Linked DNA regions of Mus musculus. The protein of the gene in region 1 interacts with the protein of each later gene in a biochemical or structural test. Links are inferred from orthologs where the notes say so. Each region holds a gene or a part of one and is shown on either strand. Other genes may lie near its edges.

What was found.
Region 2: of the proteins of Prkcz (region 1) and Mbp, one has a biochemical effect on the other in vitro, tested with the Homo sapiens proteins (2 studies listed by BioGRID). The link is inferred for Mus musculus from reciprocal best matches to the Homo sapiens genes PRKCZ and MBP.

What each region holds. Positions count from the first base shown.
Region 1 is NC_000070.6:155,267,362-155,271,186, forward strand, and holds part of Prkcz (protein kinase C zeta type), read right to left. Parts: intron 1,792-3,825; coding exon 1,672-1,791; intron 903-1,671; coding exon 823-902; intron 424-822; coding exon 334-423; intron 1-333. UniProt on the Homo sapiens protein: Calcium- and diacylglycerol-independent serine/threonine-protein kinase that functions in phosphatidylinositol 3-kinase (PI3K) pathway and mitogen-activated protein (MAP) kinase cascade, and is involved in NF-kappa-B activation, mitogenic signaling, cell proliferation, cell polarity, inflammatory response and maintenance of long-term potentiation (LTP).
Region 2 is NC_000084.6:82,572,345-82,576,169, forward strand, and holds part of Mbp (Golli-Mbp), read left to right. Parts: exon of another isoform or gene 1-480; coding exon 481-582; intron 583-2,827; coding exon 2,828-2,863; intron 2,864-3,190; coding exon of another isoform or gene 3,191-3,289; intron 3,290-3,825. UniProt on the Homo sapiens protein: The classic group of MBP isoforms (isoform 4-isoform 14) are with PLP the most abundant protein components of the myelin membrane in the CNS. They have a role in both its formation and stabilization.

The DNA.
Region 1 (3,825 bases):
TGGGGTTGCAGGGGATGGGGGAGGTGTCCACTGTCCCAGAGTTGGGCAAGTTCCAGATCTACTCAACTGGCTAATCTTTATACTTTTCTTCAAAGTATAAAGTTGAAGTTTTTCTCCTAATATCAGGAATGGACTCAAGTCCGAGCCGATGCCTGTGCCTGCTACTCTGTCCTGTAACTGTTGACATCAGGTTCTTGGCAGCTTTGGAAAACCAACCACAACACCACAGAAAATGGCCAGACACCATGTACCAGGCACCCAAGTACACACGGGCCCATTCTGGCAAAACTGGCCCACCTCGCAGAAGGGGCACCGGTGACCCTCGAGGCTTACCAGGTCCCAGTCTATGCTGCGGAAGAAAGCATGAGACTTGATGTCGGAAAACCCAGTCTGTGGCCGGCAGCCAAGCCTCTCTTTGGGATCCTGGGGGTCAGAATTCAAATGAGGGTGAGTCAGGACTCCTAAGGAAACCCCTGATTCAACCTCAACCCAACGGGATGGCCCAACTGCCCCCACGGGAGTTCCCTGTCCCCAGCTGTTCTGATGTCCAGCTGGGTCTGACCTTCCCTCTGTTGGGACTGCTTTTCCGGTCAGTTACTTACTCACTGTTTTGCTATATCAATAAAAAATTAAACTCAAAGATCACGGAGCCCCAGTGCCAGAGTGGATGAGCAGCAGCAGCACAGAGCAGCTGGGGGCAGCTGGCAGCTGATGACAGACAGCTCCAGTAGTGGAGAGACTCTGTCCACCCACTCCATCCCATGGGTAACTTGATCCCAGAGGGTTACAAGGGATCGTCTGTCACCGCAGCCAAGAGCATACCTTATTTAAAAATCCTTTTAAGACGTGTGAGGCCTTGACAGACAGGAAACGGGGAATCCGGATTGGCTTTTCCAGGATAACTGAGGACAGAGACCGGGTGAGAAGCGGCACTGTTTGCTCTTTCCGATAGCCTACGGGTGGGCCCCCTGAACTCTGCTCCTTTTGTGTTTTTTTGTTTTTTGTTTGCTTGTTTTTTTGCAAGGACGGAATCTTGGTAGGTATCCAGCCTGGCTTTGAATTCTTGACCTTCCTTCCAGCCTCTTGAGTAGCTGGGATTACAAGGCCATGTGACCCACACCTGGCTTGAACCCCATTTCTAAGTCAGAGCTCAGACTTGTAGCCCTGGGACACCTTCCTGTTCCAGAAGCCTGCTGGGTCCTTCTAGGGACCTCCTGGTAGCACTCACATATCACATAGCCTTGTGTGAACCAACAGCTCCCTACTACCTTTTGGTTGCAGGCATGTGGAGTCTGAACACCGATCACCAGGGGGCGCCGAGGGACAGCCCTGAGGGGCGTATCAGTGGCCATTAATGCTCTCTCATCAGGAGCAAGGGAGCCTGCACAGGCTACAGGGAATGATCTGGGTGGGCAGAAGGGGGCTCTGGCTAAATCAGGGTTTCTAGGTGACCCATAGTGAGGTGGACTATGATCACCTCGTTTTACAATCTCTGCCAGAGGAATGGGTTCGTGTGTGTGTGTGTGTGTGTGTGTGTGTGTGTGTGTGTGTGTACTGTTGCTGATGCACAGCACCAGCCTGGACAATGCTCCATCCTCACCTTTGAGAAGGGAAGAAAAAATAACATGCAGAGGGAGGTGGGAGGGAGTGCATACACCATGGGCCACCAACCTTGGAAAAGGTAGTCTTCAGTGTTCATGTCAGGGTTGTCCGTGATGATGTCAAAGGGGGAGCGCCCAGCCATCATCTCAAACATAAGGACACCCAGTGCCCACCAGTCCACGCTGAACCCTGTGGAAAAGCGGGCAGTCACTAGGCAGGGGGTGGCTGGGAAGTGGCACACTCTGTCCGTGAGTGTGAATGTGCCAAGAGAGTCGCTGTGCTGGACATCTGTGTCCTCAGAAGCTGTGACTCCTCACCTGCAGTGTGGGATACCCAGGCTGTGTCCCTGGCCCCTCAGCTCTGCTGGGACATCTCTGTTACTCGAGCATGCAGAATGGGACCAGGGACGGACCCTGCTTTGTTCCTGTCGTCGTCATCGTCATCATCAGTGATAGTGACCGATGATGATGATACAGGCTCTCGATATGTAGTCCAGGCTGGCCTTGAACTTGTGACTCCCCTGCCTCAGCCTCCTAGGGCATGGCACCATAACTAGTTGTATTTTTTTCCTGATTTGATTTACAGTTACAAAGCCCGCTTCTCACTGAGGAATGTGGCCCAGTGGTAGAGAACACTTTGTTCACACGTACAAAGCACACGCGCCATCCCCAGAGCTGCCAAAATACACAGAACTCACAGAATCCATCTCCGAGACGAGAAAACACAGCTACAATTTCCTGTATATTTACATTCACTATTCTTTCTTTCTTATATTTTATGTATGTGAGTACACTGTCACCATCTTCAGACACACCAGAAGAGGACATCGGATCCCATGACAGATGGTTGTAAGCCACTATGTGGTTGGTGGGAATTGAACTCAGGACCTCTGGAAGAGAAGTCAGTGCTCTTAACTGCTGAGCCATCTCTCCAGCCCGTTTTGTTTTGTTTTGTTTTGTTTTAAGACAGGGCTTCTTCGTGTAGACCTGGTTGTCCTGGAACTAACTCTATAGACCAGGCTGGCTTTGATCTTAGAGATCTGCCTGACTCTGCCTCCTGATGCTGGGATTGAAAGTGTGGGCCACCATTGCCCGGCTGGCTGACTGACTTTCTCTCTCTCTCTCTGTCTCTCTCTCTCTTTCTATGTTCAAGTGCTAAGTATTTTAAGACAGCAGGAGGGATGATCAGTCTTCATACTCTGCCTGGCCACCCCTACCATCTCTGCTCAGAACAGTCCCCCTGCTCTGGCACACACAGAAATAGGGTCACTTAGAATGCTAGACTGATTTCTGGCTCCAGTCTGCCACCCCTGGTTACTGAGCCACTTCAACTGAAGCAGCTTGTAGGAACTCAGTCATTCTTCTGAATTGGTGACTCGCACGCGCTGCCCGCCACACACTCATTTATGTGAAGGTGTATTTATGACTGGTTTCACTGAAGTCACCGTCACTAGTCAGGGATAGACAGCTCATGCCTGTAATCCCACCTGTCTGAACAGCAGGAGAAGCTAGGATGCAAAAGTGGGTGCGTTCACGAGCACACATAGATAACATGTGTGATGAGCCTCTGTGCACAGTAAACACATTTTTTTTACAAACAGTAAAAAAATAAATGTGCACACACACACTGCATGCTACATATCCTCCTCTATCACACACATGCACACACATGTATCACACACATGTACACACATGTATCACACACATGTACACACATGTACCTGTATATGTATGCCCTGCCCCCAGGTGCATAGGACTGTTTCTACCCCGAGGAGTGGAAGTACACCTTCGTGTCTACAGGGTCCCCAGATCACCCCCTGCTCTGGAGCCCAATGGGGGCACTTCTGCCATTCCCAAGGGCACTTTGTTTCTTCCACATATGCATGGCCAGTGGCCAGTGGCCAGCCAACTTGAGGTTCTGTGACCCAAACCTGGGCTTTCTTGTCGTTGCTTCATGTTCCTTTTTCTCCTCCCTGGCCTTAGGACTCCTCAGAGAGAGGAATGTTATTCAGTGTCATCTGGTGGGCCTCAGGGAGTATGCAACGGGTAACCAGCTGGGAAACCCTGAGGGGTGTTCTGTGTTATTTTTGGGTATAATTTGGCCATATATCTCCCTGCCAGGGCCACTGTAGGGTGGGCCAGACAGGTTCTTGCTCTGAGTGAAGAATGTCACCAGCTGGGGGAGACTTCTGGAAGGTGTCCACCTACATTTACCTCCCTCGTG
Region 2 (3,825 bases), on another chromosome or scaffold:
TTGCTCTCACTTGGGGTAAATCACTGGCCATATGCTTGCTAGAGCATCTTATTGACTATATTCACTGGCCTAGGTCCCTCTGGTTCTGTGGGTTATGAATCCTCGGCCCAGATGGACGCTCAGAGCAGGTGTTACTTCCATCTGACTCAAGATGGGAACGTGATAGTCCTCTGTCGACAGACTCAGAACCCTGGTGACACGAGGTGACGAGGCTAGCTCATAATGCACAACCCCAAAGTGAATGAACAGACTCCCTCTGCCAGTGATGGCTTCAGAAATAAGAGAGTAGCCACCTGGCAAACTGGTGGTTATGCACCACGCATGCTCCGCTAAGCCCCGCCCCGGACTCAGTTGTTTGGTGGCACACCAGCAGCTTCCCAATCTCCAGGAGGCGTGGAGTAGAGACTCACCTTCCTCAGAAGGGCAGACGTGGCCCACCTACGCCCTCTCCATCCTCAGCTGCTCGCTTCTCTCTTTCAGGACTCACACACGAGAACTACCCATTATGGCTCCCTGCCCCAGAAGTCGCAGCACGGCCGGACCCAAGATGAAAACCCAGTAGTCCATTTCTTCAAGAACATTGTAAGTGACTGTGCACAGGGGAACCAAGAAATCATCAAGGGAAAGGTTGTGGATCCAAAAGAGGTCTTAGCTCACACCTAACCTCCATGGATCCTTCTCAGGGTGCCGCTGGCCTGAGAGACACCAACCTCAGGAGGACCTGGGTCATCCCAGGTCCTAAAGGACACGCGTGGGTGCATCTGCCATGCTTTTAAAAACCTGTATATTGTAATAAGAATTTAGTATTCCTGAAATCAGGCAGCTAGTAGGTGCTTAATTAAAAATATAGACTTTATGACCTTGAGAAATGAAAATGGTGGGAGTCAGCGTTGCCCAGGAGGGCTGGGGAATAAACAGAGAAATGTAGGGTGCTTTAGGCCAACAGAACTGCTCTGCGTGGCATTGTAACATAAGACATGTGATATTTGTTAATACACATAGGATGCATGCCACATAGAGTGAACCTTGATGTATCCAGATGATGATGGTGATGGTGATGATGATGGTGATGATGGTGATTATGGTTATGATGGTGGTGCTGATGATGGTGATGATGATGATGGTGATGATGATGATGATGATGGACAATGATGATAATACCCCAATGTTTGTTTATCACTTAGTACAAGCAAATCATGTTAATGCTGGTGCTGAACAGCAGAAGCTGAGCAGATGTGTGGGACTGCCCTATGGGTACAGGGGAAATGTGTGACTTCGTGACAATTTCTGTGTACATCTAAACTCTTCCACAAAATAAATGACTTAGTTACTTCTCTATTGTGGTGGCAAGATACCATGACCAAGGCAACGAATGGAAGAAAGAGGTTATTTGGGGCTCATAGCTCAAAGGGTGAATCAGTGGCCATCATGGTGGGGAGCATGGTGCTGGGGCAGTCACTGAGAAATCCCATCTTCAGACACAACCATGAGGCAGAGATAGGAGGAGGGGGAGATAGGGATAGATACACAGATAGGTGATCGATAGAGATAGATAGATACAGAGTTAGAGAGGTAGAGAGGTGATAGATAGATGATAGATAGATAGATAGATAGATAGATAGATAGATGATAGATGATTGATAGATAGGAAGATATGATAGATGATAGATATGATAGATAGATGATAAATAGGAAGATATGATAGATGATAGATAAATAGATATAATAGGTAGGTAGGTAGATAGATAGATAGATAGATAGATAGATAGATAGATAGAGATAGATAGATAGGAAGATATGATAGATGATAGATAAATAGATATAATAGGTAGGTAAATAGATAGATGATAGATAGATAGATAGATAGATAGATGATTGATAGATGATATGATATGATAGATGATAGATATGATAGATATGATAGATAGATGATAGATAGGAAGATATGATAGATAGATGATAGATAGATATAATAGGTAGATAGATAGATAGATAGATAGATAGATAGATAGATAGATAGATGATAGATTGATAGGAAGATATGATAGATAGATGATAGATAAATAGATATAATAGATAGATTGATTGATTGATAGATTGATAGATGTGATAGATGATAGATTGATAGATATGATAGATAGATGATAGATGGATAAATGGATGGATAGATAGATGCAAGATAGATAGATAGATGGATAGATAGAGATATGATAGATGATAGATGGATGGATAGAGCAATGAGTGGGAATGGCCCACCCAAGTGACACACCTCTTCCAACAAGGCCACACCTCCTAATGGTTCCACCAAGTAGGCACTAAACATTCACATATACGAGCCTGTGGGGGCCACTCTCATTCAAACAAACATAATGGCCTGGGCTCTCTCACACCAATCAATAATTAAGAAAATACACTATAAATGATTCTGTCTTGTGTCAGGTTGACATAAAACTAGCCAGCACACCACTCTTGCAAAGGACCAGGGTTCCATTCCCACCAGTCATGCTGGTGGCTCAACTGCCTACAGCTCCAGCCCCACTGCGGCTGCTGGCCTCCATGGATGTCTGTGCACTCATGCCCACACACAGACACGAGATTTTTTTTTTTAAATGGGGCATCATATTGAAACTGAGCATCAGTAGATGTGCCATTTCCAGCCCCAGGAAGGGCATGATATAGACGCATGTGCTAGCTTCTGATGCCTGGTAGATTGGAACCATGTCTGTGGACATGAACTATGTCCAATGTCATGTGGGACCCTCTGGGAGGACGTGGGGCTTCCTACAAGAAAGTGAGTCACTGCAGCCCACCCCTCTCTGTCTTCCAGGTGACACCTCGAACACCACCTCCATCCCAAGGGAAGGTAAGGCCTTGGATGTTTTGGTTCATCGAGAGTTCATTCATATGATTATCCTGAAATCCCAAAATGTGTTCCAAATGGAACTGGGCTCAAGGCTCCCTGAATCTGCCCAAGTCTTGCTCCCAGAGGCTCCCACTGGGACAGAGATGCAGCAGGTCCCCAGTTCTGCGTCCACGGCCGGTGCTTCCAGGCAGTGTCCCCCTGAGCTGGGATTCACGTCCTGGCCTTGAAGCTTTGAGCAGGCCTAGCAATCCCTGAATGTGGTGCATTTGAGGGAGCCTGTTTCTCTTGGGGGGAGGAATGCCACCTGGTTGTTCCTGTTGGTTTCAGGACTTTGTCCCGGGCGATCACCACGTCAATGTTTCTGTCGTCACTGTTTCTTTCTCTTCCTCACAGGGGAGAGGCCTGTCCCTCAGCAGATTTAGCTGGGTAGGTGATGACTGCGTCTCCTCTGCTTCCTCATCCCCTGCAGCCCGCGCAGCCCACTGACTTCTAAGTTCTTTCAGTTGCTTAACACTCGCTTTTTCTGTCCTGCCCGGCCCAGCTCGCCCACCATGCTTGGCAGGCTGTTTTCTATTCCAGGCAGACAGGAAGCCTTTCAGTGTGGGTTGCTGCCAGGCTGCATCCCGGGCACTGCAGAGCCCTGTACCTCCTCCCCACAAGTGTTCTGAGCTCCTTCCCAAGAAAGGGCCATATTACAAGGCTCAGTAGACCAAACTACACTGCTGCCCACCCCTTAAGACAGTACTGCTGATGCAGAATAATGATGCTAAACTCTTGTTCCATTTCCAATAACCCTTCTACTTGTTAATCCAGAAGATCTGGGGTTTTGTTTGTGTGTTAGTGGCATCTAACACAGATCCACTAAACCTCCAAGAAAGATTCCGTAAGGGTTTTAGGTTTTTAGACACAAGATCAAAGTTCTGATGATGGTTTTAACTGGTCGGAACAGCTTGGCTTCTAAA